3 linked regions of the Saccharomyces cerevisiae S288C genome follow. The protein of the gene in region 2 interacts with the protein of the main gene of each other region in a biochemical or structural test. Each region holds a gene or a part of one and is shown on either strand. Other genes may lie near its edges.

Region 1 (9,444 bases), on a different chromosome or scaffold from region 2:
CTCCAGTTCTTTATCTTCTTTCTCCGCTGACTCTATCAAGAAAATCACCGGTGATTTGAACATGCAAGAATTGATCATTTTGACCAGTGCTTCTTTCGGTTCTTTGCAAGAAGTAGACTCCATTAACATGGTGACTTTGCCTGCCATTTCTACCTTCTCCACCGATTTACAAAATGCTAACAACATTATTGTTTCTGACACCACTTTGGAAAGTGTCGAAGGTTTCTCCACTTTGAAGAAGGTTAATGTTTTTAACATCAACAACAACAGATATCTAAACTCTTTCCAATCTTCCTTGGAAAGTGTCTCTGACTCTTTACAATTCTCTTCCAACGGTGACAACACTACTTTGGCCTTCGACAATTTGGTCTGGGCTAACAACATCACTTTGAGAGATGTTAACTCTATTTCTTTCGGTAGTTTGCAAACTGTTAACGCTTCCTTAGGTTTCATTAACAACACTTTGCCAAGTTTGAACTTGACCCAATTGAGCAAGGTTGGTCAATCTTTGTCTATCGTCTCCAACGATGAATTATCCAAGGCCGCTTTCAGTAACTTGACTACTGTTGGTGGTGGTTTCATCATTGCTAACAACACACAATTGAAGGTCATTGACGGTTTTAACAAGGTTCAAACTGTTGGTGGTGCCATTGAAGTTACTGGTAACTTCTCAACCTTGGACTTATCTTCTTTGAAGTCTGTTAGAGGTGGTGCTAACTTCGACTCTTCTTCCAGTAACTTCTCCTGTAACGCTTTGAAGAAGTTGCAAAGTAACGGTGCTATTCAAGGTGACTCTTTTGTTTGCAAGAACGGTGCCACATCTACCTCCGTTAAGCTATCCTCTACTTCTACTGAATCATCCAAGAGCTCTGCTACATCTTCCGCTTCTTCTAGTGGTGATGCCTCCAATGCTCAAGCTAACGTTTCAGCTTCCGCTAGCTCTTCTTCCTCTTCTTCTAAGAAGTCTAAGGGTGCTGCTCCAGAACTTGTTCCAGCCACTTCATTCATGGGTGTCGTTGCTGCTGTTGGCGTTGCCTTACTATAAGATTAAAGCAACAATTTGTGTTTCTATTATTACTTTAATTTCTTCTCTAATGATTTCTTTACCATTCCTTTTTTATTATGAGACGGTTGGTTCATCACTGAATTTTATATGTAGATAAAATTTTAGTGTCGTTAATATCTCTTTTATTTCTTATTGTTACTATATTATTACTGTTTTGAAGTTCCAGTTTCATCAACTTTTGCTACCTTAATTAAAAGAACCACTCAGACTTTTTACCATCCTTTAGCTTTACCTAATATAATGAAATTTGTCTAAGTAACATAAAAAAAAGGAGTAAAGAAAAAAAAAAAATAAGTAAATGAAATAAAATATAAAAAAATTCTTACTACGGTTTAAAACAAAGTGCTCTTCCGCTAACGTTTCAAGTTTCTAAAGAATCGTTAGGGCCTTTTAACGGATCGCTTTTTTAAAACAGTAAAACGTTATTTATAGTTATTTATACCAACTATTTCTCGAAATTCGTTTTTAAAATAACTGCCATCTTTACTGCTCTTCTGCTCCTTCCTTTGACATGAAAAAGCAATCAGAAAGAAATAGTCTAATAAATTGTTATTATGTACACATACTCTTATACGTATAAAAAACGGTATAAATTAAGTAGATCATTTTGCGTTGTCTGTTACCTGCCCCCCTTGGCCAATCTCTTGGCTCTCAACTTTTCAGCCATAGTCATTTTCTTTGGACCAGAAGATGGAGTTGGGGTTGCTGGGGTTGCTGGAGTAGCTGGAGTAGCTGGGGAGGACCCACCAGCTGTTCTACCGGCTAGTCTCTGTTCGATGGCTTCTTCCATTTCTCTTTGTTTTTGAGCGATCATATCCAATTTAGCTTTATCTGGAGAAACGGTCGCCTTTGGTAGAGTGCTTGGTGTACTTGGAGGTTCCCTGTTTCCTGCGCGGAAAGAGTATGGAGTTGATTTCTTGGCAGCAGCTTCTTCGATTTCTCTTTGTTTACGGGTAGCCTCAGCGAGTTCTTGAGCACGCTTCTGTCTTTCAGCATTTGCAATTTCTTCCTTACGCCTTGCAATGGCTTCCTCGTAACGACGCTTACGAACTTCTTCAATTCTGGCCTTTTTGGCAGCTTCCAATTCAGCCTTCTTTTGGTTGCGGATGGCAGCTAATTCGCTTTCCTTAGTGCCCGAAACATGCTCCTTGAACTTCAAATAATCATCATAGACCATGACCAAGTTCTTACGATCAGCCATTCTGGCTTCGTATTCGGCCTTGGCGGCGTCGACAATTTTTTTCTTCATAGCTTCATAATTTGCTGTGTCTGTTTCTTGTAGCTTGTCAACTTCTTTTTGCAGCAATGGCAATTCGACCTTTCTCAAAGCTCTTTCCGTATGATCTAACTTCTTCATAGCATATTCCATACGACTTTCCAATTCACTCTTGTTCTTTGATACCTCAGCTATAATAACCTGTTTAATGGTGTCAAGATCTAAGCTTTTAGCTTCGTTAGGGTCAATGTAAACATGTCCCTTAGCATTCACCTCAGTAATCATCTTTGTGATTTCTCTTTCTTTGATAGCTTCAAATTCACGTTTCTTCTTTTCAATTAAGCGACGGTGAGCCTCTTCTTCCAATTTAGCTTCAATAGCAGCTTTTTCTTCCAAAATACGCTGTTGTCTGACCTCAGCATCCTGTTCAGCATGTAGGGCAGCATGTTCCATATGTTTTTGCTTTTGCTCTTGAGATCTCTTGACACGTTCGTCAACAATCTTGGAAATCTTTTCAAGGTCATCCTTGTTCTTCTTAATTAAAGTTTCACGGGCAATTCTAACCTTTTCCATGTATGAAGCATTGTTGAAACTGTCAACATCGTGTAGGACATTGGATAATTCAAGCAACTTGTTGTGGATGTAAGAATTGCGGATAATAACAGGATCAGATTCTTCTTCCTTTTCTTCACCGTCTTCAGTTTCTTGTGGCCCAAGAGCTTCGTCAGTTTCCTCCTTTTCTTCTTGGACTTCTGGCTCTGTGTTTTCTTCTTCAGAGACTTCTTTAGAAGCAGTTGATGCGAAAATGTCAAATGGATCTTTAGCGAATGTAACCTTAGCAGATTCATGATCGATGGTAATTGAAACATAATCTTCCACAGCAGCTTGTAACAGCGATTTTTCGATGTCCCAAGCAGATAAGTCTAACGGAGCAGGTAGGGTAGCGAGCTTGTATAATTCGGACTGGGAGACAGTAGTGAATTTTTGAGAGGCAGCAACAAAAACCCTTCTCATAATGACGTCTCTTAAAGGTGCGATGTATTGGCTGAAGTAGGTTTTAGAAGACAATTTGACTAATAAATTTTCCAGCTGTTGTTTCACTGTGTCGACATCAAAGTTAACTTCAATGATATCGTACAATTCTTTCAATTCCTCGTCAACTTTACCATAAATGGATTCGTCTTCAATAATGGATTGCAACATTTCCTTTCTAGTTGGCTTGGCGTCCAAGTTTAATAAACGGTACATACGTAAATGAGGATCGTAGCCAATAGATGGAATTTCGTCTAGTTGGGTAGAAATAGCGGATAGGAAAATTGTAGAAGAATATGTTTTGAATTCTTCTTCCGTGGCTCTTGGATTGGTAGAATATAACTTATAAAACTTCTTCCAGGCAGTAGTGTGCAACAATGGATCACCGGAAACAAAGAAGACCTTTACGAGATTCTCGTAGTAATTAGCCAAAGTAGATGGTTTAGGAGCACGTTTGGATATTTTCATTAAGTGGAAAACATCCTCAATGGATCTATAAGCCTCGTGCCACAATTCCAACTTGACAGAAACATCGACTTGTTGGAAACGTTGATCTAAATAACGTTGCAAGGTATCAGCATCGCTCAAGTCAACTAAATTGTTTCCTGATTTACTTTGTTGGTAGTTAGCAGCATCTAAATGTTGACGTAACATTTCAGCTAATCTCTTGAATTCGTTTTTACGCTGATACTTCAAACAGAAATGCATAGTTTTTTTAACGACACCAGAATAAGTAATTTCCAACAAAGCGTTGTTTCTCAATAAATCTAAGACTGCACGATATGATTCCCAAGTAAATCTTAACCATGAAGTAATGGCTTCATCATTGAAACCAGCCACAGATTGATCTGACTCGTAAACAGAAATCAGCAAATTTTCTGGGGTAACACCACCTTCCAAATCATCATCGATTTCTTGCTTTTGAAGTTCGTCAGCTCTAGTTTGTTCAGAAGCGATTTTAGATTCGACTAAATCAATGAATTTACGTGCAACGGCACCGACAGAAACCAAACCTTCGGTAGATCCTTGAATTAATTTTTTGTACTGGTGCAAACCGTCTTTTAGCAGCTTACCTTTCTTTAGTTCAACACCAATTTCCAAGAATTTAAACACGACTGGCTCAACAGTTGAAGGTGTAGCCCAACGGATTCTTCTGGCAGTTATGAAATCATGCAAAGATTGTAAAGCAGCTTGTTTTTCGCCAACAGAAATAAGTTCATCGGCTCTCTTAATGGCATTTTCAGGACGGAATGGTGGGGGGGCCATCTTGATGTTTCCTGGGCGTTTGTATGGTTTATTTTGGAACTCTCTCTATAGTTGTAAGTATATCTACTTTCGATTTAGTTCACCAAGAAAAATTTTTCACCTGGCAAAGCTTCTCGGGCAAAGCGACTGAAAAATTATCATCTTTACCCGGTGGGTGATAATTATGACAGGCAGATTCCAATGACAGAATAAAAGGAAAGGATGCCTTGGTTTTGATAATTTTATAAAATTTATCACTAAAATATATACCATAGAGGAAAGAACTTGTTCACTAGATCCTTTCTGATTGGAAGGGATAAAGAATAAAAATACAAGGACATGAAAAATTTGAAATAATTATGCGGATTGGGTCATCAACTCAACAAGCTCGTTCACGGGATCTTCATCGTGCCTTGCGGTTTCAATGTTGGTCAAGGTCTTTTTAATACCGACATTGAAGTTAGGACAGCTCCTTGATAATTCATTAATAACTTTAACTCTACCAGCATCGTCAAGAAAGTTTGATTCTATCATGACGTTGTTCAATTCATCTAAATTGGTCATATTTGGAACTGCTATCTCATTGTCGAAGCAACTCAAGATATCCATTTGTTGAAGTACCGAATAAGCTGATGTAGTAGTCATGATCAATAAACGACGGTCTTGTGGGGGTTTACGCTTCAATGCAACCTTTAGCATTTGTAAAATGTTATTAGAGAATCTTGGACCAATTGGTACCCAATCAACTAGAGTCTCTAACGAATCAATAACAAGAATGTTTAGTGGAGATTTATACGCATCTCTGAAAGTGTTATCAATATAGGCAATTTTTGCGCTTTCTGACATGCCTGACAACTCGTTGGGAGAAATTAACCTGATGAATGGGAATCCAGATTTTAAAGCAATTTCAGCGGCTAAAGCTGTTTTACCGGACCCTGCAGGGCCGTGGATTAATAGAGATACTAACCTGGATTTATCACTCTCGCGAACTTGGCGGACGTAACGGGCTCCGTTCTTCAATATTGAGTTAACTCGTTCGGAATAAAGCATCATTCCACCTTCCACACATGTTTTCAAATCTTCTTCACTAATCCCAAAAGCGGGAGTAACATCGTTGAGTGCATTTAAAAAGTCTTCTCTTGTTACTTTAAGTTTTGCTATATCTTTAGTGTTAAGTTTTGTGGCACCTTTCCCGATGTTGACGGTTTTGTTGATTGCAAAAGAACTTGCACTCTTCACTAAACCCTCAATCTCAGCACCAGAGAAGTTTTTTGTTAACGCAGCTAACTCAGCTAAGTTAACATCGTCGCTCATCATATTATTTTCCCTCATTTTCTTCGTCTGAATGTCGAAAATTTGGAGTCTTCCTTTTTCATCGGGTAAATGAATTTCAACTTGGACTTCAAATCTACCTGGACGCAAAAGAGCACTGTCTATTAAATCTTTACGATTGGTCATACCAATAACCAAAATATTATTCAATTGATCAACACCATCCATTTTAGCTAACAATTGATTAACTACATTGTCCCCTACACCGGTACCATCACCTCTTGAACCTCTCTGCTTGAAAACAGAATCCAGCTCATCGAAAATAATAATATGTAAGGAAGATTCCTCACCCTTGGCCCTATATTCTGCTTCTGCATCCTTAAATAAATTACGAATGTTTTCTTCTGAAGAACCAACGTACTTACTCAAAATTTCTGGACCATTGACGATTTTGGGCTCTTTGGCATTCAGCATTGTACCAATCTTTCTTGCAATTAAGGTCTTACCAGTACCTGGAGGACCGTACAATAGCAAACCTTTAACATGAGAAATACCCAGTTTTTCTATAACTGAAGGAGGAAAGATTCGACTTGCAAACGCTCTTCTGAAAATTTTAGTAAACTCTTTATCCAAACCACCGACACCCAAATCTTCAAACTTGAAATCCGGTCTGATCACAGCATTTGATCTTGGTCTTAATGAATTTGATGATTTCAAATTAACTAAACCATCTCTTCCTTTGAAAAAATTAATTTGTGTTTGTTTTGTCAAAATTCCCTTTGTCTCTATCCCAGTTGCAACAGCGGAGGTTGGTTCAATATCACCCAAATCGATTGCTTGGACATTTCTAATTTTTAAGTCAAAGAAATGGCCTTGGAACTCCATGATAAGGTACTGGGTGGGAGAAAATATTTGAGATTCGTAGCAACGAACAAATTGTTTGGCTAACTCATCTTGATCGAATACCGTGCTTACCGCCTTACCTCTAGCTCTGAATGAGATATCTATATCTATTGAACCAAGATACGATTGCTTACCGGAATACTTGAATAAATCAAATGCTTTTGCTTGCACGTCTTGATTTAGGGACCAACCACCCCAGGTACGCTGGTTACCGTTAAATCCAATGGTTCCCGGTGGAATGTCGTTGGAGTGTCTAGTTGTGAAAACAAATAAATTATCGATAATAATATAAATGTTATTAGGGAAATCATTTGGTGAGACAGCAGCTACGTTTGCGAGTGCATAGGAGTTATTTGGACAGTTTGACACCTTTAAATGGCGTGTACGGGTATCCATGTTTGTCATATCTGGTGGAGTATGATTTGCAGCAGCTTTTCCAAAACCAGGTATCTTGAACATACTCAATTTATAAAGGCTGAATATACGGTACTATTTGCTCTTATCTTTGAGAGAAACAACGGTAGTACTTAAAGGCTACGAATAAGCCAATTTCATGAATCTCGAAATTTGGTACGCCTAACGTATAGTGTGATACCGAATTAACCCATGGGAAATACCTTTTTTTAGTGACGCTACGCTTGTGTAAAGAGAAAAAAATACTAGGTGACATTTTAGAGAGGGTACTGCAGAAGTATAAAGCGTACTCTGAGTATTAAAGTGCATTGAATTGGAATCCTACATCAACTACAAGTAAATAGTACAACCTTTATAAGCAAATGTATTTAATTAAAGATAAAATATTCAACTATTTAGCGCGCTCATTATTGATTAAGGCGAGGAAGGCTCAAGCTAAATGAACTATTGCTGCCCATATTGGTATCATCAAAAGCATCATCCATATCCAAAGGATCTAAAGGTTGAGGCGTTCGCAAAAATAAGGAAGAATCTCCATCATTTTCTGCACCCACTTTGGCGTTTACAGTTGTTGTTGGATCCGCTTTTACGTCGTTTTCCAAGTCTTCTTCTGGAAGTATAAACGCGCTTGCGATCGGTTTCTTTTTGTATGTGGTACTTATCTTACCAGTAGGAGGTAATCTTGCCTTCGTTGCGGTTTTCTTTGAGACAAACTGATCCTCTTCTAGTAAAGCGAAAGAATTGTCTTCTGTGGAAGTCATTGAGGTTTTATCATTTGCAGATGACTTGCTTTGCTTTGCTATATAGGCCTTGGAACGTTCATAATCTTTTTGTAATAGGGGAAGTAGAGTATTCCAGAATGAACCAGCATCCAGCATACCTTTTGTAATTTTCTTATACACAATGCTGTCTGATTCTTCCGGTTGGATCTTTTTGGCCTGCACTTTGGTTTCCCCGTCAACAGTTTGAAACTGAGTAGTCAGTAACTGTAATGGAACAGATGAACTCAAAACTCCAAACTCCTTTTCTAATCCAAGCTCTCTAAAACCAAAGAAGTCTTCACCAGTCAATTCGCTGGCAAAGTCACCTGTAAAAAAGCTTTGGCTCTCGTCTTCAAAGTTTCTCTCGGACAACTCCTGCAAAGTTGGCCTTAATAAGGCTCTCAAAAAGCTTTCTAGTTTCTGTTTGATGTCCTGAAGTTTCTTAGTTTTTTTACCAAATTCAGATTCAACATAGGAAAATAGATCGTCTGGCCTGTTGATACCGTTTTCCAACAGTGTTGTTTGCAGCATTTCCACATTTGTTCCTCTATTTAAGGAGTTAGTTTCATGATGAAGCTTCAAAGTCTTTATCAGATTAGATAGGTAATCCCCGGCGATTTCAGTAAGCATGTTTATTGCTGATGGATGGGCAGTTTCAAACCCATTGGCCATAGCAACCTTAGATATGTTCTTATGCATGAATTTCCATATCAGCTCCCTGTTGTTTTTGTAATCATGCGTTGGAAGCTGTGACACCGGATCAATATCGAGTGAGTCATCAATAATAGTGTAATTATAAATGTGGTTGTTAAGGAAAGCGTTGGGATTGCTTCTGGAGTTTTGAGCCGATAAAGGGCTCTGTAACATTCTGATCAGGGATATTTTATGGCATATGTGCCTAATTTGCTGAATCAGTGTGATATTTTGGTTCATTTTAGGTGTTAGTCCTAAATCCTTGTTAGCCAGAAATCTGCTTTGTTTGTTGATACCATTTTGAAGCATGCGGTCCACGGAAGCGTCTTCCATCTTGTCTAATGTTTTAGTATTTACTCCCTCGTATACTATGTCAGGAATGGCGTTACTAATATCATATTCCTGTAGGAATCTGGTATCATCTAACTCAATATCATTGGGTTGCTTTTCAAAAGCTTCATTTCCATTTAAAGAGTGATCATTATGAAACTGCAATTGGTCATCGTCTTCCTGTTTTAGTACTGTTCCAAAGCCATTTTTCATAATGGAATTTTGCTCTATTTTTTGACGATATGATTCTAAAGCTTTCTGCTCTTTATATTCAAGAAAAAGCTGGTCGAACCTTTTCATTCTTTGTGGGTTTTTCAAAAACGCCTCTGAATCACTATTTAATTTTCCATTTTTAAAATATTCAGTTCTTTTTAAGCAAATTTCCGCACGAACTTTGGCAGTTACAGTTTTCCACACGGATATTTCCAAATCGTCTCTATCGTCATCCTTTTCAAGTAAATAAGATTGGGAGTCGACCATGTCTTCGTCTTCATCTTCGTCATCATCATCCT
Region 2 (11,326 bases):
CGAACTGCTCCTTTTTCAAAGCGTTCACCCACGATTTAGCGGAGAACTCTGAATCTGCATTGAATTTGAATGTACTTTCATCTGTGTAAAGCTTAAATGTTTTCGTAGCACTCCCGTTTAAGGTATGTTTTTGTGTTTCAATTTTTTGGACCTCCCTCAAATCTATGGTTAAAACCGGAAAGTATAGCTCAGTTGATGAGGTATACATAGAAAATAAATGATTCTTTAGTACGCACCAATACCTGGTAGACCTAATTAGTTTTGTCCTGATATTAAGGTTTCCAGACATTTTAACCGACCGAGGATTCTTAGGTAAATATGCAAAGAATAGGAAATGTTTTGTTGTAATAAAAATATGGCCTTGAACCAACACATCTTTAAGTAGCCATGCAGGGAAATCATTCAAAAATGGTTCCTGTTCGTCTAAACAAAACCGCTGTCTCAACTTAGCCACATTGTCTTTTGACAGTTTTTCCCTAGTTATTGAGAAGTCGAATAAAGTTGGCTTTCTTTTGTCTAATCTTGGTACTTCCGGATGCGATTTAGTTTTGAGATTTTCCTTTTTGCTTTTTACCTCATTTCGACCAATGTTTTCCTGGAAACTATCACTGGAATCAGATTCTTCAGAATCAACTTGCGACAACACATTCATTTCTTGAGCATTATTCATCCCTGCATACACACTAGCAGTAGTTAATAAACCGGCAATACTTTTCATCATATACTTGGATTTCGCCAAGTCATCTGCATTATCGTTATTGTAACCGTTTTCGTCATCATCACTACGGGCTTCATTTGGACTGTCCTGCAGTTCTTGCTGCTCAGACGACCCCATCGATAAACTGCTATTTGATCTTCCTCTCCAGCGCTTGAACTTCGAAAGTGACCTTGAAAGGCGATGATGCCTAGGGGAAGTTTCTGGCTCAGATGGCTTATCAGGTACCAACGAAATGCTTGGTTTTGGCCCCGCCTCGCTATCAGACGCTGATATGATTTGAGTGATGGGCATTCTTTTAAGTTATACGGATTTTCACCAAAGCATAAAGTGCAACTGAACTTCTGATGTTTACTTTTTGACAGCCATGACTTTATCAGTGATAAATGCAATGACTTTCCGATCTACTCCTTCTGTTGACTTTTAGTCCCTTTTTTCTTAGATGTTATGTTACAGTCACATCAGGGTTAAGTTTTTCCAAGTCATCTCAAAACAATGACCTATTTTATTTCTAGATAAACCCTGGTGTAAGCAGGGTTAATTTTGTCCCAAACGGGCAAAATATAAATACCCCTTTCGGGAAATAAACTAAAAAGAGTTCTAATTAGCCAATTGGCAAGAAAGCTCGATGAAGAATCATTATGGGTTTAGAAATCAGATTTCCTTACTTTACAAGTTCTCTCACGCAAGCTTGATCGTTTTTAAATTTTCTACGTTCATTCAAGACAAAGTGGTTACAGATAGAAGTTTTTCTCACATTTAGATTATTTTTTCCTGATAGTATTAAATAACACGTACGATCAACAAATTGTTGCTCAGTTTAAGTGAGCCTAGAGAATTAAGCTTTATTACTGCTGTATTTTCTGTTATTTTGATTGCCTTGGGAATAAAGGAAAGGTTTGGAGGGGCACATCTTCCTAAATAGCAGTAAGGAAAAAGAATCGCGTGTGAAGTCTTTTAAATCAACATAGTTATCCTCGGTTCCAACTATTTTACTTTCGTTTCAATTCCGTTGTTCTTAACTAATCTTCTTTTCTTTTAACTTGTTACAAGCCAGTACTCATTGCAAAATCAAAAAAAAAAAACACAACTAATAAACTAAACAACTAAAAAAATGAATTCTCCAACAATGAAATCGGAACAACTTACTCCAAAACTCTCACCAATGTCCTTTTGTTTGGATGACCAAAGAAATGCAGGCTCTTTTCAAAATCTATTGAACTCACCTACGAAGCTAAAATTAGACACTGGCCCGATTGGTAATTCCTTGTTATATCCAACATCACTCTCTAAATTGAGCGAGTTATCAAGAGGTGGACGTTCTAAACAAAGAAGGGGCTCTGACACTATGAGGTCTGTATCGCCTATTAGGTTTCAGTTTTTGAACAACACTCCAAAGATGTTAAAACCCGAGTACCTATCTCAAACAACCAGTAATCTGCCATTGCTATCTGCCCTATTGAAGAATAGCAAGAAAACTACTAGTGAAGGCCAGAATTCAAACCCTGATCCATTGAACATAGAGAAAAACATCATTAAACAAAGCATCAAGGACAAACTAGAGCAGCTGCGCAGTTCAGAATCCGTTGCGCAAGTACAAAAGAAAGAACGCAATCCCCCTTCATTTGAGGCCAAAGTCTGTGCGGAAGAACCGATATTACGGAAAAACGCCGAAGGGTTGCTCCCCTCATACGTTCCTGTTCCTGCTACTCCTTTGGAAGATCCAGAAAATCATGGGGTGCGAAAGGTCGAGGACAAAGGACTTAGAGTCGTCTCCGGCGGCTCCACTCAGTGTCTAAGCACCGAAGTGAACGAATTGCCTAAGGATCTGAATCTAGACAATTTACCTACGGATAATAACGGGTTCGTTCAATATGGTCTCAAAGGCAATAACAACAACAACAGATATAGCTTTATCTCGTCTACGTCGACGGACTATGAGCCCGAATGGTGTGACGGACAACAACATATTTCAATGCAAATGGCCTCTATGGCCAATGCAGAGGAGGCAAATAGTCGTGAAAAATCGAATTTAGACATAAAGATCAAGCAGCTAGAACTTGAAATTACAGAATTAAAGTTGCAGAATGAAAAATTAGTGCATTCCATGACGACGAACAGATACATTGAAGAAAGATTTATGCTTGAGGTTATGAAGGATCCTAGTATACAGGCTCAAAGATCCCAAAGAGATATTGAGAGAAAAGTCAAGCAACTGGAGAAAAAATTCTTCAATTGTAAAAAAGTTCTTAAGAAATTGACTGAATCCTCCGCAGTAGTGGCCACCTCCACTTCAAAAACTGAAGGAAATTCAGCAAGAATCCCATGCCCTAAGACTAGACTGGCACGCGTTTCTGTTTTAGACCTAAAGAAAATTGAAGAACAGCCAGATTCTTCTTCGGGAACTTCGTCCGAGGAAGATCATCTAACAAACGATGATACGGATGCTAATACTAGCGAAGATTTAAATGTTGCTTTTGAAGAGGAGCCAACTTCTGCTATTTCCACAACAGCATCTGTGCAGAGTGGGGAAAGTAAAAGAGGTTTCCAACTTAACCTTCCTGTCCAAGTGGAGAAGAAGGAAAAATGAAGCGTCAACTTCAAATTAAATTAACTTATTTTACACAAACATTCACAATACATCAATGCTGATAGGCGCTTTGTATTGTAGGCTATCGAGTTACGCATCTGCAATGTGCGTGATTTCTCCGTTATCCATCCTTCTCATTGGACAATTTTTATTTGAATATTACTGAACTTCAAAGGGCTTGTCGTGTGATTTAATCTTTTTTCTTACAACGTCGAATGCTGCAGCTATTTATTCATAGTGTCGTCTAAGCAAATACCCCGCTTTTAAAAGCTGAATAGAAAATCCAATCACGGTGTGACTGGTATCACAAACACATAATTTATATATTGCATTCAAGTTTATTCAACCTATACTTAAATACATTAATTACCAAAAAAAATGATATAATAAAGTCTTCTTTTATCTGATTAATGACACCTTTTTCAGCGGGCCAAATTTTTTTTATTTCCGAAGCCCGCCGGACTAATATTAATTATATCAGATAGTTGGTGAGCAAACGCATGTGGAAATGAACAACAATTTCGAAAGTGCATATACTATCTATAAATATCAAGGGGATTCTATACTATAACAATACCTGCGATGTCATCCACAGCAGTACCACGACCTAAACCTTGGGAGACCAGTGCTTCGTTAGAGGAGCCACAGCGTAATGCTCAGTCTTTAAGTGCGATGATGACCTCGAATCAGCAGGATTCCAGGCCAACTGAAGAAAGCAATAACAGTAATAGTGCAAGTGAGTCTGCTCCCGAAGTTTTGCCGCGGCCTGCGGCACTTAACTCCTCTGGTACCTACGGCGAATCGAATACAATACCGGGAATATACGGTAATAGCAATTATGGGATACCCTATGATAATAATCCGTATAGTATGAACTCTATATACGGAAACAGCATAGGGAGGTATGGCTATGGAGGATCGTACTATGGCAACAATTATGGATCGTTTTATGGAGGAGGGTACGGTGCAGGAGCGGGATATGGAATGAATAATGGAAGTGGACTAGGTGAGTCGACGAAGGCCACCTTTCAGTTAATAGAAAGTTTGATAGGCGCTGTTACTGGATTTGCACAAATGCTGGAATCTACTTATATGGCCACACACAACTCGTTTTTCACCATGATATCCGTCGCAGAACAGTTTGGTAATTTGAAGGAAATGCTAGGTTCATTTTTTGGTATCTTTGCTATAATGAAGTTTCTTAAAAAAATACTCTATCGTGCTACTAAGGGGAGACTAGGAATACCACCAAAGAATTTCGCAGAATCTGAAGGAAGCAAAAATAAACTAATTGAAGATTTTCAAAAGTTTAATGATAGTGGTACCATAAATTCTAATGAGAAAGCCACAAGAAGGAAAATTTCATGGAAACCGCTACTATTTTTTTTGATGGCAGTATTTGGTTTTCCATATCTACTAAACAAATTTATTACTAAACTACAGACCTCTGGAACCATACGAGCATCGCAAGGAAATGGTAGCGAGCCTATTGATCCTTCGAAGTTAGAATTTGCAAGAGCGTTATATGATTTTGTTCCAGAAAACCCAGAGATGGAAGTTGCTTTAAAAAAGGGCGACTTGATGGCAATTTTGAGTAAGAAAGACCCTCTTGGGAGGGATTCTGACTGGTGGAAAGTGAGGACAAAGAACGGCAATATTGGCTACATTCCGTATAACTATATTGAGATCATAAAAAGACGGAAGAAAATTGAGCATGTTGATGATGAAACGCGTACACACTAGTGCATCAATATTTGCACACATATATTCGCATATATATATAGTAAAATCTAAAGTAATGTAAATATTCCAGGGAGAATCAGCAGAAACGAGACGAAGTACTTCTTAACAAAAAGCCAGATAACGGTGCAAAAACACATTATATTCTCCATCTTGAAAACACAATCTCCTACGTACACATATGCGTATTTATTTTTATATGAATGAAACGCCTATGGATATATATATGGGAATATAGACATTCACAATTTCAGGACAATTGTGATATGGCAATATCCAAGGCCTGCGGTGCTGGGCTTCGCTTTTTTTCACCAACAAAATGAGATGGACAAGTTTATCATAGCAAAGAAACAATAAGCAGATTACATAAAGTCGTCATCACCGAATTCAAAATCGTCGGGGCCATCTAGGTCGAAATCTTGATCTTTCTTAAATGCGCCACCCAAATTGGTCTTACCTTTGACTTTCTTCTTACCAGCACCCCCAGTAGCAGTACCACCTCTAACACGGGCCAGACGAGCTTGCCTCTCCTCTCTTTCCTTATCTTTGATCAAAACGTTCAAAGTAGCAACTGTTTGTCTTATAGATTCGATGGACATTGGTTTTGCTACATCTCTAATCAAATCAATCGCTAACGATGAGGAGTAGTTCAGCGGAGATTTTTTGTTCATTGGTGTAATAGCAGCAGTAAGAGCCTTTCTTAAATCCTGGTACTCTCTCTTTGTTTCGGCGTTAAACAAAGGATGTGTTTCGATAGGTGTGTCCTTGGTAAAGGCGGGTCTTTTTAGAGCTTGTTCCTCTTGTTCCTTTTGTAAAGCACGAGCCCTTGGATGTTCTTCGGCAACACCTAAACCCGCAAACAAATCTGCAGCATTGTTTAAGTCAGACTCCATTTCAGCCTTTTTGATTAATTCTTTACGTGTCTTTTCATCCAATGTGTCAATATCCAATAGGGCTCTGTCAGCGGAGGATTCTTTCCCTTTTTTAACCTTTTTTGGTTGTTCTTTTTTTGGCTTTGGGGCAGGCTTCTTTTCTTCCTCTTCTGCATCCCATGATTGCATGACAGGTTCGTCATCACCAATTTCAGCATCCCATGAGTCCATCAAAACGGCGTCATCATTACCCATAGAACCATTGATAGCTTCGTCGTCCCAAGACATTTTTATTACTTTTTTTTTTTTGAGGTGGTGGTTAGGATAGAATAGTTACAAGGAACTCAAAAGATAGTAAGATAATTTAAAGCGAGAGTTCAAGAATGGTGGGAGCAGTCAGTTCTCAATTCTTTAATGTAGTACTTCTGACTTAGCTAGCATGAAAAAAAAATTCGGAAAATGCCCAAAAACAGGTGTGTTCGTCTAATATGATACAGGGACGACCATAATATCAAGATTAGTGACATTTGATGTATAGTTTAGCAGAATGACTGTTATAAATAAATAATTATATATGTGTGTATATTAAATTTTGTTGAACCAGCGCTTATTTACAATTTTTAGGACGTGACCAAATGCGAGCTGCACTAGTTTTCTCAATTTCGCTCGCCCATGGTGATATCTTTAAAGATCTTTAAATGGGAACATCAAAACTGAGGATTTCTCGCCTCTTCGAGTTTTTGGATAACAAATGCCATGCCCATTCTGCTTTTCTTAACGTTTTCGTCAAATTTAGTGCGCGACCAATCCTCTACCTTAGATTTGATACCCATATTGAAGCCACTTGAAAACTTCACCCGGCTGTCTGCTATCGTACTACTTGTAGCACTGTCAAATTGATAGGTAGTATATTCTTCAACCTTCATGATTCCAGTGTGATCCAGATTCCTAGTGTAAGTTTTCATTGTGGAGTTAGCGGGGTTCACTACGGAAACTTCGATTATCCATGTTTCTGTTATACCTCTTAAAAAGGGTTTGACCCATGTGGGCAGCTTTCCGGACTTTTTCAACAGCCTCGTTGTGCGCAAATTTCCTTCTTGATCAACGTTCCTTGATATTGTGTCTATGGATAGTACATGGGGGGAGTATGGATTGGGGTATCTATTAAAAAAGGCGCGTGAAACAGAGGCAAAATCGGTAGGAAATATATGTGTGCTTTTGTGTAAAAGGACCATTGCAACTCTTAAGGATATCTTACCGCCGTCTCAGAAGCCAGACAATACTTATTGAATATGATTACTCATCCATCTGTCATATATATTTTTTTTTTCTAGCTTATTATCCAGGGAGAGCGAGAAATACTGCGGAGTTTTTCACCCGAAAGAAAAAAAATACGCAAGCACGATGATAACAATAGTTATATTATTGGTTACCTACAGTGTATAAAAAGAAAGAGTTTTATTAAAATGCAGAACTATGTGGTGGTATACAGAACTGATTATACATTCTATAACAAAAGGGCACCAACGGCGAATGCACCCGCACCATAAGCTATGTGAGTGCCGGCAAAGGCGCCATTGGTAGAATTGGACATTACGGACGCTACCTTACCGTTGACTGTAGACTTGTATGTAGTGGTCAGTGTCTCTACTGTAGAACCTGACGTAGTGGTATAAGTTGATTTGATAGTGCTTACTACCTTGGTGCTTGATTCCGGTTTTGATGAGGATCCCGAAGATGATTTACTTGATGAAGCCGTGTTGTCAGTTGTGGCTGAGGACGGTAGCCACCAAACAGTAGATGTGTAAGTCTCACCTAACGAATTCGTGGTAGTTACTATAGTAACTGGCCCGTCCGTTGATGTTGATGTCGTTGAGGAGGATGCGGAGTTGGTGATTCCGCTTGACGTCTCTCCGGTGGGCTGCACAGAGGCAGTTGAAGTTGTGCTTACGGCAGAGTTGCTTTCGGCCACCCACCATAGGTACTGTGTCGTGGTTTTGCCTTGTGCATCCGTCGTCACTACGGTGGTACTTGGAGCCACAGCATAGGTGTTGCTGACGACGTTGCTAGTTTGTACTAAGCTTTTTCCGGTAGAAACTACAGTTGATGCGCTTTCTTGGGCTTCCTTTGTCGTGGTAGGTGTGATCTCTTGAGAGTTTGAGCTTTCCTTTTGTGAGCTATCTTCAGAGTTCTGGCCATCTAAGGAACCAGAGTCTTTTTGAGCAGCGGCTAGAGTAATTAAGGTGGTAAATAATATGGAACAGGCCTTCATTTTATATATATGTTGGGTTTGTTTATATTTTCACTAGATCGGTGAGTATCTAGTCCAGAAGAGTTGATCTTTCTTACATACTTATATATGCTCACTACCGCCTTCTGAGAAAGTAGGCGTTTTTCAGCTACCTCAGTCGCTAAAAATAAATGCGAGTTCTCAAGCCAACTTGGACTCCAAGGCGGTAATTATAGTGATTCTCTTTGTCTATTTTTGGATTTATTTTGGAGGCTGACACTCTAAAGCCAGCCATTGGATTAATTATTTTTTCACTTCGTCAATTGACTATGCGGAAAAACTAAATGTGGTCAAATTCTGTCGGCTATGTACACGAAAACTATATACGCCTCGTCCTTTCAGCCACTACAACATAACAACACCGACATTGCTACGCCTTTTAATGTCGTTACTATTGTCGGGATTCAAGCCACCGGTAATCGGCTTTGCTCTATAATTAAATAAATAGAAGTTCAAGAACCCGTCACCGGGCCCGAACTTCAAATCATCCAAGAACAATGTATTATCTTGCGAAGTCAACGCGTTAAAAACATCCATATTAGCGTTTTTGGCCAAAATACAAGCGTCATAAATCAATTCACACAATCTTGTTTTCAAAGCCTTAGTAGCTTTTGGATCAAACCTGTCTTTGAATTGGAAATCTGCATCGGTGGCATAATAATACAAGTACCCGATGCCTAGGTCCTTATATTTTGTGTTATTTAGGATTGTGAATGGCAATGAGTAAAATGAGAAGAAGTCTGTAATTTTTCCATCGGGCTGTTCGACTACATATGAGAAAATTACTTGTTTATCCAATGGTAACGATTCTTCACCAATGAAATTATGTTCGAATTCTTCTTTTGTGAAAATTTGAATTAGTTCGAACCTGGATTGATATCTTTTGAACAACTCAAAAACTTGGTCAATATCTTCCTTCTTTAATTTTCTCAATCCCGCTGTCTTTGTTTTGGCCGGTAACGCATTCTCAGCAATCATATCCTCCTCTGTGTGCCCATCTGGTAACCCTGTGAAATCTACTTCATAAAGTTTCTTCCAATTCAAGGGACGATGAGTATAACGACACGTACTCACAGGTGCTGGCAAAACAATACCTGCCGTGTACAATGCATGCCAGATGTCACATTTGTTCACTCGTCTCGTAATTTCTTTAATTAGAACAGGTGTTAATCTCTTCGATCTTAGCTGTTTGTGAACGCACAAGAAATTGATTTCTACACTAGGCACTTGTTTACCTCTAACACCAAGTGTTACTGGTATGGCTGAGATAAAGGCAACTAATTTCTGTGTTTCTTTAACGCGAACACCAATATGCCAATCCTTCTTCCAACCTGGACTCTTTAAAGCCCAATTGAAGAATTCTTTGGTATAGTTAAATCTGAAGCCTGCATCGCGGTCTTCCACGTAGTTTTCATTTAGTAGAACGAAAACATCTTCAAGCTGTTTTTTGTTGTCCACATCAATACTACACCATTCGAAGCTAGACAATAAAGGTAGTGGCTTGTCAGATATATCTTCCGGTGTCTTTGGCTTATCAATGGGGCCTTCTTCCACCACCTTTTCATCGAAATCTTTGACCGGTTGCGTTCTCCAGAATTTGTGGTCTTTCATAGCTTTTTTCTGTTCTTGAGTGAATTTTGAAGTATCGTCATTATTCAACTGTAATAACTTCAATAAATTCTCTAATTTTTTCGCTTTATCCTCTTCTGACATTCTATAAATACGTTTACTACCGAAGCTCTATGACAACCAGAGCTATTGTACAGATCATTCTCTAAAAAGCGTGCAACACATATCATCTTCAATTATAGTGAATTACTTTTATCATGAGCAACGGCTGAAATTATTTTATCCTATTGTTTTATGACAGTATCCTTTCAAAAGAGTCGAAAGGATCCTCTGTTGCAAGAACTACTATTACGTAATTATACATAGTCCGCCTGCAATTTCTAGTGAGACTTTGCTTTGCTTTCCACTTTGCGATTAATATTGAGAATTTTAAACGTTAACTGAATTCTTACCCACCCATAATAAGAACTCTAACTGGCGAATTTATCATGAAACAAATCTGCAAGAATAAAAAATTAGAGAATCGTGCAATTCAATTTAATTGCCTTGTCCGTTGTAAAACTTTTCCATAGGCCCTACCTTGAGTTGATCATATGTATTATTCTATATATATTATATCCAGTCGGGTAATAAATTTTCTCGCCCTCGAAAAAAAGAAGTGAAAAATTTGTCTCGATGAGCTGAGATGAGTTTGAAAGAAGCAAAGAGTTTTAATTTGTAAACGATAGCAAGTGTACCCTCAGTTGAGTCTATTACGCCTTCCTTATTTGGAAACTTAGAAGACGAATAAAAAAAACAAAATAACTAATGATTTCTGCTACTAATTGGGTTCCAAGAGGGTTTTCCTCGGAATTTCCTGAAAAGTATGTTCTGGATGATGAGGAAGTGGAAAGAATTAACCAATTAGCACAGTTGAATTTGGATGATGCTAAAGCTACTTTGGAAGAAGCAGAAGGCGAATCAGGTGTTGAAGATGACGCCGCAACAGGTAGTTCTAATAAGTTGAAGGATCAGTTGGATATAGATGATGATTTGAAAGAATATAACCTGGAAGAATATGACGATGAGGAAATTGCAGATAATGAGGGTGGTAAAGACGTTTCCATGTTCCCGGGTTTAAGTAATGATAGCGATGTTAAATTCCATGAGGGTGAAAAAGGTGAAGATCCATATATTTCATTGCCTAATCAAGAGGATAGTCAAGAGGAGAAGCAGGAGTTACAAGTTTACCCATCCGATAATTTAGTTCTTGCTGCGAGAACAGAAGATGACGTTTCGTATTTGGATATCTACGTTTACGATGACGGTGCTGGGTTCCACAGTAGCGATATTCCCGTTGAAGAAGGTGATGAAGCTGACCCAGATGTTGCTCGTGGATTGGTTCGTGACCCTGCACTTTACGTTCACCATGATTTAATGTTGCCTGCTTTTCCACTATGTGTTGAGTGGCTTGACTACAAGGTTGGATCCAATTCCGAAGAAGCAGCCAATTATGCTGCCATTGGTACGTTTGATCCACAAATTGAAATTTGGAACTTGGACTGTGTTGA
Region 3 (11,763 bases), on a different chromosome or scaffold from region 2:
TCATGTTAATTCAAGCCCAAATCTCATTCCTGTCCAGAAACAATTCAACAACGGTAACAGTACCAAATATAAAAAGTTGCCATCAGAGAATCCCAACTATCTTTCTCACTCTCTCTCAAGTTCCCATTCTTTTTTCCAACCAAAGAAAAGGTCTAACATGGGAAATGAGTACAATTCTCATCACCATCATTCATTGCATCATCCTCTGCATAATACCACCTCATATTTTTCGAATACTTCAAGACCATCAGGAACTGATTTGAATAAGTCCAACCAGAACGTGTTCAATAATACCATTACGCATCCTAATGCTGGTCCTACAAGTGCCACATCGACATCTACATCATCTAACGGAAACACTCCTTTATCGAGTAACTCTTCGATGAATCCAAAGAGTTTGACAGACCCCAAGCTACTAAAAAATATACCCATGTGGTTAAAATCGTTAAGACTACACAAGTATTCAGATGCCTTAAGCGGAACCCCGTGGATCGAATTGATTTACTTAGATGACGAGACTTTAGAAAAAAAAGGCGTTCTTGCCTTGGGTGCAAGGAGAAAATTGTTGAAGGCTTTTGGAATCGTTATTGATTACAAAGAACGTGATTTAATTGATAGATCTGCTTATTAAATCTGGCATAATAAAGTTGATTGTCTTGACGTTGCATAAAGATTTAATTTTTATTTACTTTGCATATACCAACACAGGGAACATATTTCATTTATTTTGTAATTTTAACGTTTTCTTTTATGGAGTTTAATATTTTAGATTACACCTGTTTTTGCACCGTTTAATGGCATAAAACTATTTACTTAACTTTTAACTCGGGAAATATGTATCACTATACTAAAAAACATTAATTTAATCAAAGAAAAATAAATTTAATGTATGTATCTATATATATATATATATATCACTTAAAACAGACAATAGCCATAATCAACTGGGTTATTATTATACAATATTAAAGGAAGAACGCATATTTGAAAAAAAAATAAAATGGGTAATGAATTTTAGCACAAATACTTCACAAAAGGAAATATACTAGTAGTAAATGTATATATTTATATGTTTATACAATGAATGGTACAAGAAATTTTGATATTCTTGCTATTGTGGTTTCTTGTGTTTCATCCAGTATTCTTTATTGATTTTGACATTATCGCTTAAAAATTTTAATCCTGAGAATTTTTGACTTAATGCGTTGAAAAATACTTCAGCAAACGTATTAATGAAAAATATTTGACCGTTTGGAATATGCGGATGGTCTTTGATAATATCATCAGGGTCTGTTACGTTCACCAAAATATTTTGAATTGATTCCAAATCTTCTTTCGGAGAATCAACATTCTTGTATGAATCGCCAAAACAGTCTTGTTCTGGGCGGTGAGCTTTATGAAATGTTTCCAAAAGAGCGCAATCATTAAATTCGAGAGTAATGAGGTATGCCCAACGTGCTGATATTGACAAGGTTCTCGTCACATTAGAGATGTCTGCAGCTTTAATAATTAGAGATATCAAAGTGATTTGTTTCATTGGGTTTTCATGCATTAATCTATCCTCATACTGAGAATGCAATGCCATATCTGTGGCCAGAATAGCCTCGGAAATAAAATCAAATTTTTTTTTGGAGATAGATAGCAATTGAGGCCAATGCTCTGATAGCAATTGTTGAAATAATTCCCTGTGAAAATTCTCCAAGATAGAGACATTTTTGAAATTTTGAGCAACCTCTGATTCACAGTTGCACAATAGTTGATTGTTAGTCCCAGGATGACCGACATCATGACCTATGGCAGCCATACACAACAGTAATGTTTGTACAGGATTATCTTTAAGAAGATATGTACACAATCGCCATGTGGCTTGCATGACATCGATGGCATGCCTAAAATTGTGAAATTTGTTAACTTGATGATAGGATGATTCTAAAGTAAATAGTAGTAGCAGTAACTTATTATCTGCAATGAGTACTTTTGCATCCTTAGATAACTTTTTGATAAGCGTGAACCCGCACCAAATCAATTCTTGAGTGCTTAATGATAAAGCACAAAAGTCCCAAGTTGATAGAATGTTCCAATAATGTGATCCCTCTTGAGAAATTTTTTCTATTGGATCTGACAAAAAAGACATAAACTCGATGTTGCGAATTAGCCTTGGCACTGATGCCTTTCGTAAATGTTGTGCCTTGGAATCATTCAAATGCAATAATAAAGTGTAAATGTTTGCTTCACATGCTTGAGTGGGGACAGAATTCCCATTTACAGTACCATAGCTGTTTTTGTTAATACCGTCTGGAGTATCATCATGATGGTGATACATCCAGTGGTTAATTCTCGTTATTCTATTACGACAGATGCTATTTTCACGCTCAACACATTCAAGACGTTGCAGGTTTTCCTCTCGTGTATGATCTATCGCAGAAATATTGAAAGATGGGAAAAATCGCTTGAATAGAACATCCAATTGTCGCACAGATAATTGAAATTTTGAAGGGTCATAAAGAACTATAGATACGCCCGTTTCAAAGTTATGGACGTTTGGAAAAGGCGAAACTCTGTCCTTATACAATGCTACCATCAGAGAATCCAAATCTTGAAGCTCAATCACTCTATCAAAATAGTGTTCATTCTGTACAATTGTTTGAGATTTCTCAATCTCGTGTATTCCAATCAGAAAAAGGGTGGACATATCAATAGGTTATGTTTTCTTCAATTAAGTAGTAGTGATCTCAAAAAGAATGTCTGGATACTCTAATTAGTGGCTAATAAAGCGTCAGTGCAAAAGATAAAGAGGGACAACAAAATAATTTAAAAGAAAAACGCAAAATAGTCGGTAACTCGTGCTAAAACCAGTAACGACAGCTAATATCAGGAAGATCCCACTTTATCTCAAATTTGCGCTTTTTAGTCCAATCTCTCACAGTGACTATAGTTTTCAATTTGCAAGTATATTCTCTCTAAGCCAATTTTTCTTCTTTATAATGCCTAAAACAAAAAGAAAAGAGGAAAAATTGTGCCCAGTAAAAAGAAATTCTCGGAGAACAAAAAAAGAAAAGTGCAACTAGAAAAGGACGCAGGACCCTTTTATAATTTTGTACGAGGAGAGCGACCCCTGCAGATTACAAAGATAATAGAGCCTATTGTAGTATTTATGAATATTAGACTAATTCTCATACTTATACTAGATATTGTTGTTAGTTTACATACAAGCCCGTAAGTTCATGAAATTTATTCGACCTTTTCCTTTGTTTCTTCCAAAACTTCTTCAACTATCTCTTCGATGGTGGTAAAGTCATCGCTGGCATCTTCTGGTTGAACGTCAAAGATTTTGAAATTCATAGATTTTTCCATTTCTTGGCCAATTTTTTCTCTATATTCGGTCCATTGCTTCAATAATTCACGTTGGTGTAGAATCAAATCTCTCATGGCGGTGTCAGCTTCCATTGCATCTTGCTCTTCGAATTGGGCAGACCATTCCCTCAAGTTTTTCCTAACCTTTTTCCTTTCGGCGTTAGACAAAATGGAAGCTGGCCTTGGTCTCCAGGCAAAGTTCTTGAAGCCAGCAATGATGTCTTCTTTAACTAAGTTACCAGCAATATTGAAAATTTTGTAACCATGCTCCACCTTGTGTTTCAAAGAACTTGACCATGCGGTAACGTATCTACCAGATGGATCCCAAGTGATATTAGTAGCCGCAGAGTAGGTAGGATGAGCAACATCTTTCAAAGAAGCTGAAACATCATTATTGTCATTAATATTCTTTTCACCTGGATAGTCCATATCGTAAAATTGTAGGTCTGATCTACGCATGTTTGGACCCACTAAAGCACCTACAACCACAAATCTACCCGCTGGAGACCAAGAAACAGTGTTGGCAAAAGTTTTTGGAATTTCTTTGACCAAGCTCCATCTTTTAATTACGTCAGTCTTTTCTTTAGTTTCTGGAGCGTAAAATCTGATTGTATTTGCTGGGATAGCATAATTCATATCAGCTACTTCATGAACAGAAATTGTAACAAATCTATTTCCGTGGGGTTCCCAACCGAATTCAAAGACACTATCTTTCAATTCAACCTTTTCAACTGGTATATCTCTTTCAGTCAACCTACAAATTTGTAGATTACTGAATTGAGTCTTACCAGACTTTGTGTGACGTTCGACATTGAAGCACAGGAACTCAGCTTGGTTTTGCCAGTGCAGAGTTACGTTGGAGACTTGAACTAAGTTAACGGTTTTTAGCACTCTACCGCGAGGAACTTCAGCAATGGTAGCAGTACAAGCGGAATTATTAGTCTCAGGAGTCCAATAAGCCAATAAAACAGAAGGCTCGTCACCGTTTCTGAATGGTTGTAATTTAACACCTTCTGGAGCAAATGAGAAATCTCTAATACCAGAAGGCTTCAAAGCCTTAGCTTCTAATGGCATGAAGTTTTTAGTAGCATCGTGAACTATTAAACTGTCTCCAACCATACGAGCACAATATTTATCATTATAAGACCATCTAACTAAAGGCCATTTCAGATATGGGCTCTTTATCACTGGGAAAGTTGCCATCAACAGACCAGAAGCAATGTCCCAGATGCATAATTGATGACCCTCATTTTTCTTGGTAAATGGAGAGAATTCGTTATCTTCTTCTACAATGATTGGTTCCGTGGAGAAAGTGACCAGGTACTTTTCATTCGGAGAGACGGAAGAGTTTCTTACATCTGGATGATAGAATCTTCTCAAACGATCGAAGTTTGGACCACCCCATGCAGTTACACCCTGTTGATGGTAAGAAAACAAATAGGTACCCTTTGGGGAGAATCTAACATAATTGGTAGACCAGTTCTCTCTAGATTCCACCAAAGAATCTTCTTCATTGAACATAGAGTTCCAGAACACACTAGTCTTCACGTCATCTTGTAATACAAACTGATCTCTCACTTTGTCGTCCATTAACCAGGATTTTAAGGAACTAGATGGAACGAATGTAGGCATATCAGGCTCCCTGAATTCGGTGTCAAAGTCGTCAGAATTATATCTTTCAACATCTTTCATAGTATAAAGAAACAAACGATGTTTTAAATCCAGTCTTTTACCGTGGAAACTCTTGATAATTTTTTTAGCATCGTTCATTGAGCCACATTCCACGAAGAGAAAACCTTTCGTCTTACCAGTGGCTTCATCAATTGGAAATTCCATGTTAACAACTTTACCAGCTTTGGAAAACAAAGAAGTCAAAGCCTTTTTCAAAACAGGAACTTTGGCGGATGGGATGACTGGGGCACCATTAACGACGATGTACTGATCGAAATTGAATTCTTCAGTGACCTTGTATTGTTCTTCCAGGTCGGAAAAATCAATGTCGTCAACAGGGATGTCCTCTAGCTTAATGTCTTCGAAAGTCTCGGTAGTCATTTGAATTATCTTTGACCTTTTGAGCTGTGTGTTGCGAGATACTATACTATGTACTGAGATGTTATTGAAATATAATTCGTAAATATTTTTCAATGTGCGTGGAAGAAAATTTTTCATTAGTTTCCCGCTATCCAAAATATGGAAAGGAGGGTAATAGGTGTCAGAAGAATAAAAGTATTAGGCGATCAAGTAATAATGATAAGATGGTGCACAATGAGAAGTTTATCTAGTTACGTAAAATGTAATGGAAGGTACTAAAATGTATTTTTTGTTTCGCGGCGTTACACGTGAGTTCATATTATTTCAACTCTTTGGTTCTTCTTAACGTATTATCAGAATGTCACCTATTCTAGGTGAATATCACCCTCTTGGTCAGTGGTAGCGTTTGCATTCGTAGCCACTGGAGCATTTTCATCATCACTGGACATGACGTTATCACTGTCATCTTCGTCCTCGTCATCATCGCCGTTAATTTCTTTTTGGGCAAAATCGATAGCTTCCTGTAGCAGATCGCCCTTAACGAACTTGTGCAGACCATTCGTTTCCGACAGTGAACACCAACTTATTTCCAATTCAAAATCCTTTTCCTTGTTATCCTCGTGTGCCAAATAGATAATCTTTGCAGCTTGTTTAACGGCCTCTCTTGCTGAAAGACCTTCTGGATGATGGTCAACTAATTTTTCCAATTCAGCCTTCGCAGATTGCCTACCTTTCCCAGTGGCAGCCCCCTTGTAGCCCCAATAAGAGCCACTTGGTTCCAACATGTAAAGATGAGCACCATTTTTATCTACACCACCAAAGATGGTACTGACCCCGAACGGTCTAACACTGTTGTATAAAGTGTGCGCCTGCACATATTGTCCTAAACGGTCTGCAAATGCAGGAATGGGAATGGGCGTTTTATACAGCTTTTTGAAGCTGGCGGCTTCTTCACGACCACGATTAACCAGGTGCCTACCATCAGGAATCAAACCTGAATAAACGCAACCGATGTGACGGTCTACGACTTGAATCTTGACATTTTTTTGTGGGACCAGCAGTTTAGACGTAATGAGCTTTTCCACTGCAAAGACTACACCGTCGTTACACTTTATACCGATTGATGTGGTACCGTTTTCGACTGCTTTGACGGCATACTCTACTTGGAAATTTCTACCATCGGGGGAAAAAACACTATTGGAAAGATCGTAACCAGTACCAATTGATGTCATTGCTGAAGAGTTATGCTTTTGTTAATTTGATGATGCGACGCTCGAATGTGTTTGAAAGCTTTACAACTGCACTACCAAATAAACCCTCTACCGCCACTATTACCACTTACTTTCTTATTTTTGCCACCGATTTAGAGGGGCGGCGAAATCTTCGTTAAACGTGATTTAGCTATCGGAACCCATTATAAATTGTGAGGAAGCTTACCAACTCATAAGTGGAATAAAGACACAGGCAACACTTTTCAGAAGCAATGTCAGCAATGATTCAGAAAAGTGACCCCATCAGGGTCGAAATCTGAGTGCTCAGATTATCTCTTCAAAGGGTAAATTACGGGTAGGACTACATATACAGAGAACTTCTGGGACCTGGGAAATACTGTTCTTTCTAGTGTGTATACATGGGAATAGCTGCATATTTCCAGACAGTTTAGATGTTACCTTTGTTTAAAGTTAGAGTATTTTTCACACCGATGATTACGAAGTCACACATTCGCATCCTGCGGTATTGTCATTGACAACGCGTAAAAAAACATATACTTAACGGAGGCCGAAGGAGATGAGAAACAATTGAAGAAAAGGAAAGGTAATATTTATTTAAATAGTCGTTTTCAAACCAAAGCCCAGCAATATTTTTCATCACGTCTAATTGGCAGGGAAAATAGTAGTACGAATACTTGATAGGATTGCAGAAGATCTTGTACATAAATGGCCTATTATAGAGAGTCACGCTGAACACGCGGCGGTAGCTTCAAATCTTTCTCTGCATTAAGTTGCTAGAGCTTGGTCTGCCCATTATATGTTCACTACCATCAGAAATTGTGCCTATGATTGTCTATCTTCACTTTTTTTTTTTTTTTGAACTTCCAAGCTGGTCGTGCTGCTATATTTATTTATACGTGTGATTTCGTCTTGCTAACATTAACATTTTTCTTCTTAAAACACACAACGGCGAAATGATTCGTATCACATGTTTTTCTATCGTCTGAGCTGTCAATGTTTTATAACCTAGACATTAAAAGTTATATAATTAAGGTGGGTTCGTCTTTGGAGGAGGTGCTTCCTTCTTGTTTAGGACTTTCATACTGGTAATGCTTTATAAGCACGGCCGTTGTTTTAGTTTCAGATCTTCCTATTGTAAATGGAATAAACTGGCGTTCCTACCGTGATGGCAGCGATATTACCTACCTTATATACTGCGCTTTTAACTTATGTATAATATATATATTAAATAAAATACAAAACAAAGTCTTGAATTTCTTTTCTATCTCTGCAATAGTTGACATTATTTCCAGTCCCAATTCAATGCGCTATCAAAAGGCACCATAATTTACAGTATATTATTTGAGCCATATCTAAGCGGAAAGCTCACAAGTTCTTGTCATGATACAACCTGATAGAATAACTATGTCGACACTCTACCGTATTAGGCGCAATGAAGTGGCCGTATACATCTCAGGAAAACTGGAAAAGACTTCCTAGTCGTTCTGGAAAAGTAGGTCATAATCGAAGAAATCAAGGCTACCAAAAATATCGGGAACATCCATGGATATGTCCAAAGAAGACATGGGAGGGTCATAGTAGTTTTTAAAATTACTCGGTAACTTAACATTGTCATTGTTATTAATGTTCGAACCACTGTTATTGTAGTTATTGTTTATCGGCATAAAGTTTAGATTAGGAGCGGCACGGTTACTTTCACTCGAACCAATTGACGGAGGCATGTTTTCCTCATTATTTTGGTTACTAATATTGTGTGCTAAGCTATAAGTGGAGGCATTACCAACATTTGTAGGGTCATTTGAGCTGCTGTACGGTGGTACACTCTCATTTTCCACGCTGGAGTTGAGTAAAAGTTCAATTGTGGGTGTATTATCTTTCATGTTTGGTTTTGATGGATTCAGAGAATTTTGTGGGTCAGCAACACCGATGTTTTTTATTCTGTCAAATTCTTTGATGATTTGGTATAATTGATCAAGGGTAAAGTTAACAGTGAGATTTTTGCCCTTTAGTCTATCAATTAAATGGTCAGACTTGTCCAAGTTAATTCCAAGTGTCAACTCCAACATTGTGGCAATTTTTTTGGTAGTCAAGTCTTTGTCTACTTTGACAAACAAACCAGAAAATAATTGACCTTTCCTCAGCCTTTGAATGAATACGTCAAACAAGGTCAACATCTTGAAAATGTAGAAATATTTAAATCTCAGGTTTTGGGACGCAAGTAAATATACTTCCAACAAAAGCCTCTCGAAGTTCTCCTTGATAGTGTCCAATGACTTTATTTTCTCCTTTATTTCTGGGAGGTCACTAATGTCACCTCTGGCATTGCATTCGTTACATTTGACCAGAAGCATATTTTTGGCCAGCTCTACCCGCATGATGATGACCAAAAGGGTAAACATCGTGGTAGGAACAGCCAATTGAATAACTTTTGTAGTGATGAAACAAACTAAAGAAGAAAGAACTTTCTCGTAACTGCCATTGAAATACAGGAAAAAAAATCTGATTAGGGAAATGGTGTCGGCACAACATTGAAAAAAATACTTATAGAAGAAGGATAAGCATTCGCTTCTCTCCATTGCAAGTGTTTCAAAATATAACATCAGCGCTATTGAGGCCCTTAACATCATTAATTTACCCAAGATCTGGCCCGATAAACTTATAGAATTCAAAATTGAATTGAACGTTAGTTTTTGAAATGTCTTCTCTTCGTCGTAGATGTTAATATCCACACTTCTTAGCTGAAATTTGTTTTTTAAAAGTTCATTGGCTTTAACGCGTAAAGTTTCTAGTGTATCCATTGGAACCGAACCACTGTATGAAATGGTTATATTATTCAAATCAGACAAGAATAATGCTAATTGAGCCCTATGGAAAAAAATCTCATGGATTTCGAGCAGTTGCTCATCCGATTCGGAACCTGTTAGATCCTTCTTAACCCTTTTTTTATAGATTTCTACACAATTGGGATCCCGAACGTCAATGAAAAGATCAATCATTGAAAGGGGTGAGACCAATAGTCTACCCTTCAGGCTTGACTCCAGAGTTGCCATAGAGATAATTGATAGCCACTGTATCCTTCGTAAATTTAGCAGCCTTTTGTCTGAAGCTTCGGGGTGGTTCAAGGCTGGAAAGTCAGATGGGTCACGATGTAATCCGATAGACGTCCCTATTAGTATGACAAGGTTAATTATAACATCCGACGGTTGTTCTAACAGAAAATCACCCTCAGTTGGGGAAAAAACAAATGCACACCAGATATAGAGTAAGCATGAAATGGTATTTTCATTTGCACAAGCACACCAATTTTCCGATGCAAGTATCTGCTGCGCTAGGAAAATTACTTCGCTTTGAATCGGATATTGCTCTAGCATCTCTTTGGTAATATACGGACTGTAATCTTCAATCTTATCTTCTATAAATGTCAAAGAGATATACGCGATCCTCAAAATTAACAGTAAGATACACAGATTCTCCATTTTATTTCGTATAAGGGTTGTGCCCATCGATAGTCGTACCTCTCCTAATTCATTATACTGTACTGTTGTGTGAATTGATTCCTCCAACATTTCCTTGCTGGCGAAAGGGATTAGGTGGAAAATATGCTCAAAGAAATGAGAGAGGTACTGTTCAATGATTGCCTTGGGAGGGAGCGTTTTCTCGATTTCATTGATGTAGCCTTTCAACAAATCAGAATAGTCGTTTTCGGTGGGGCATGTATCCTCTAAATATGACGATTCCCTGTTACTGTATAATAAAGAAATTACTTTATTTACCGCAATCTGTTCTTCAGGGTTCTTTCTCTGTAGTAGCCTGTCCGTAAACTCGTTAATGGATTTTCTTTGTGATTCGTATTTTGAGTTTTTCAATAGAACCTCTCTCATTTTTACAACGTTATTCTTTACGCATGGCTGTGTCCTCGACCTACTAATATCTGCATTTAAAGCAGGAATCATGGAGTTTCTGGAACAACTTAGAAGCACGGAGGCAATTAATGTCTTCAGAAAGGTATCTTGAAATATTAAGTACTTCTCAGATAAAGGGTTGATTTCTCTTTTCATCACTTTGGTCATAATCAATCTGGGATGAGTCTTATAAAGACTTATTGGAAAGCTATTTTCCTGCAAGCTTTTACATGTCCTTCTAGCAGCTAATTCTTCAGTCGGCCTTTTCAATGCAGTGTAGAAGTCTTTCTTTTCTTGAGTCAAATCCACGGTTTTATTTCTCCAGTAACGAATCTCCTTTTTCAGTCTCGCTATGGTGGCATCCTTATTCGGATTCCTAGGGGCCGCCTGTCTGGCGACATCATATATACAAAAGAGGTTTTGTTTAGTACATCTGCCACATCTAGGTTTTTCCTGGTCACACTTCGTCTTTGCTTTTCTACAAGCTTGGCAAACAAAAGAAAGTCTATTCCTTTTTTTACCTACTCTATTCATTGCCGGTGATGATTCGTCTGTAAAGTACATCTTTTATCGAAGAAATTTTGTTCAGCAAGATCAGAAAGTGATATTTCATCCGCTCTATACGTTTCAGTAGATTTTCTTTATCTGACCTCTATTAAGTCCTAACAACGCTTTATGTTTTCTTCGTTGGAGATACTCCGGAGATTATATTTAGTTCCGAGATGGTCTTACAACCTTTCAAATTCCAAAATCAGAAGAAATTTTGCAGGAAGGCAAATCCTACCGGACGTATTAGTCACGATTTTATTTATTCACATATACAGATATTCACAGTTCGAATTTTGTTTACAAAGGTCAATCTTATTGATCTGCGGCTTTTGAATACCGTTGCATTCAAGAACGGCTTTCTTCATTTCGTGCAGTTCCGGGACCGATTCGTAAACCGCATCATCATCCATTTCACCCTTCAAAAAGGATCGTCTTTGATCATCAATAGGTTTGTATCTTGTATCAGGGTGTTTGTAGTATATTGCCATCGTAAAGCATATCAATATGAAAATGAAGAGATACAAAGAAAACGCTGCATTTAGAAAAAAGAAAATTAGTCCCATAAAAGAAGACACAGCTATGGGCTGCTGAAATAAGTTACTGAAAAATAAGAAAAAAAATGCGTTCACTAAATTCAGTGAATGGATACTAATATTGAAGAAGTTGGTTGTTTTATCCATGTAAGGTTGCATCCA

Evidence for each region.
Region 1: the proteins of HCR1 (region 2) and RPG1 form a complex in vitro, tested with the Saccharomyces cerevisiae proteins (one study listed by BioGRID).
Region 3: the proteins of HCR1 (region 2) and PRT1 form a complex in vitro, tested with the Saccharomyces cerevisiae proteins (3 studies listed by BioGRID, with this or other methods).

Annotation. Positions count from the first base shown.
Region 1 is NC_001134.8:393,698-403,141, forward strand, and holds RPG1 (translation initiation factor eIF3 core subunit a), read right to left. Parts: upstream 4,581-9,444; coding exon 1,686-4,580; downstream 1-1,685. Other genes in the region: ECM33 (Ecm33p), read left to right, coding at 1-1,045; AAA family ATPase SEC18, read right to left, coding at 4,917-7,193; SAGA histone acetyltransferase complex subunit SPT7, read right to left, coding at 7,556-9,444.
Region 2 is NC_001144.5:533,385-544,710, forward strand, and holds HCR1 (translation initiation factor eIF3 core subunit j), read right to left. Parts: upstream 6,206-11,326; coding exon 5,408-6,205; downstream 1-5,407. Other genes in the region: ATG26 (sterol 3-beta-glucosyltransferase), read right to left, coding at 1-1,009; MMR1 (Mmr1p), read left to right, coding at 1,830-3,305; peroxin PEX13, read left to right, coding at 3,888-5,048; UPS1 (Ups1p), read right to left, coding at 6,625-7,152; NCW2 (Ncw2p), read right to left, coding at 7,425-8,189; glycylpeptide N-tetradecanoyltransferase NMT1, read right to left, coding at 8,553-9,920; rRNA-processing protein PWP1, read left to right, coding at 10,584-11,326. UniProt on the Saccharomyces cerevisiae protein: Component of the eukaryotic translation initiation factor 3 (eIF-3) complex, which is involved in protein synthesis of a specialized repertoire of mRNAs and, together with other initiation factors, stimulates binding of mRNA and methionyl-tRNAi to the 40S ribosome.
Region 3 is NC_001147.6:1,012,130-1,023,892, forward strand, and holds PRT1 (translation initiation factor eIF3 core subunit b), read right to left. Parts: upstream 5,524-11,763; coding exon 3,232-5,523; downstream 1-3,231. Other genes in the region: VTS1 (Vts1p), read left to right, coding at 1-631; 3',5'-cyclic-nucleotide phosphodiesterase PDE2, read right to left, coding at 1,112-2,692; PRE10 (proteasome core particle subunit alpha 7), read right to left, coding at 5,751-6,617; oleate-activated transcription factor PIP2, read right to left, coding at 8,093-11,083; YOR365C (putative flavin adenine dinucleotide transporter), read right to left, coding at 11,332-11,763. UniProt on the Saccharomyces cerevisiae protein: RNA-binding component of the eukaryotic translation initiation factor 3 (eIF-3) complex, which is involved in protein synthesis of a specialized repertoire of mRNAs and, together with other initiation factors, stimulates binding of mRNA and methionyl-tRNAi to the 40S ribosome.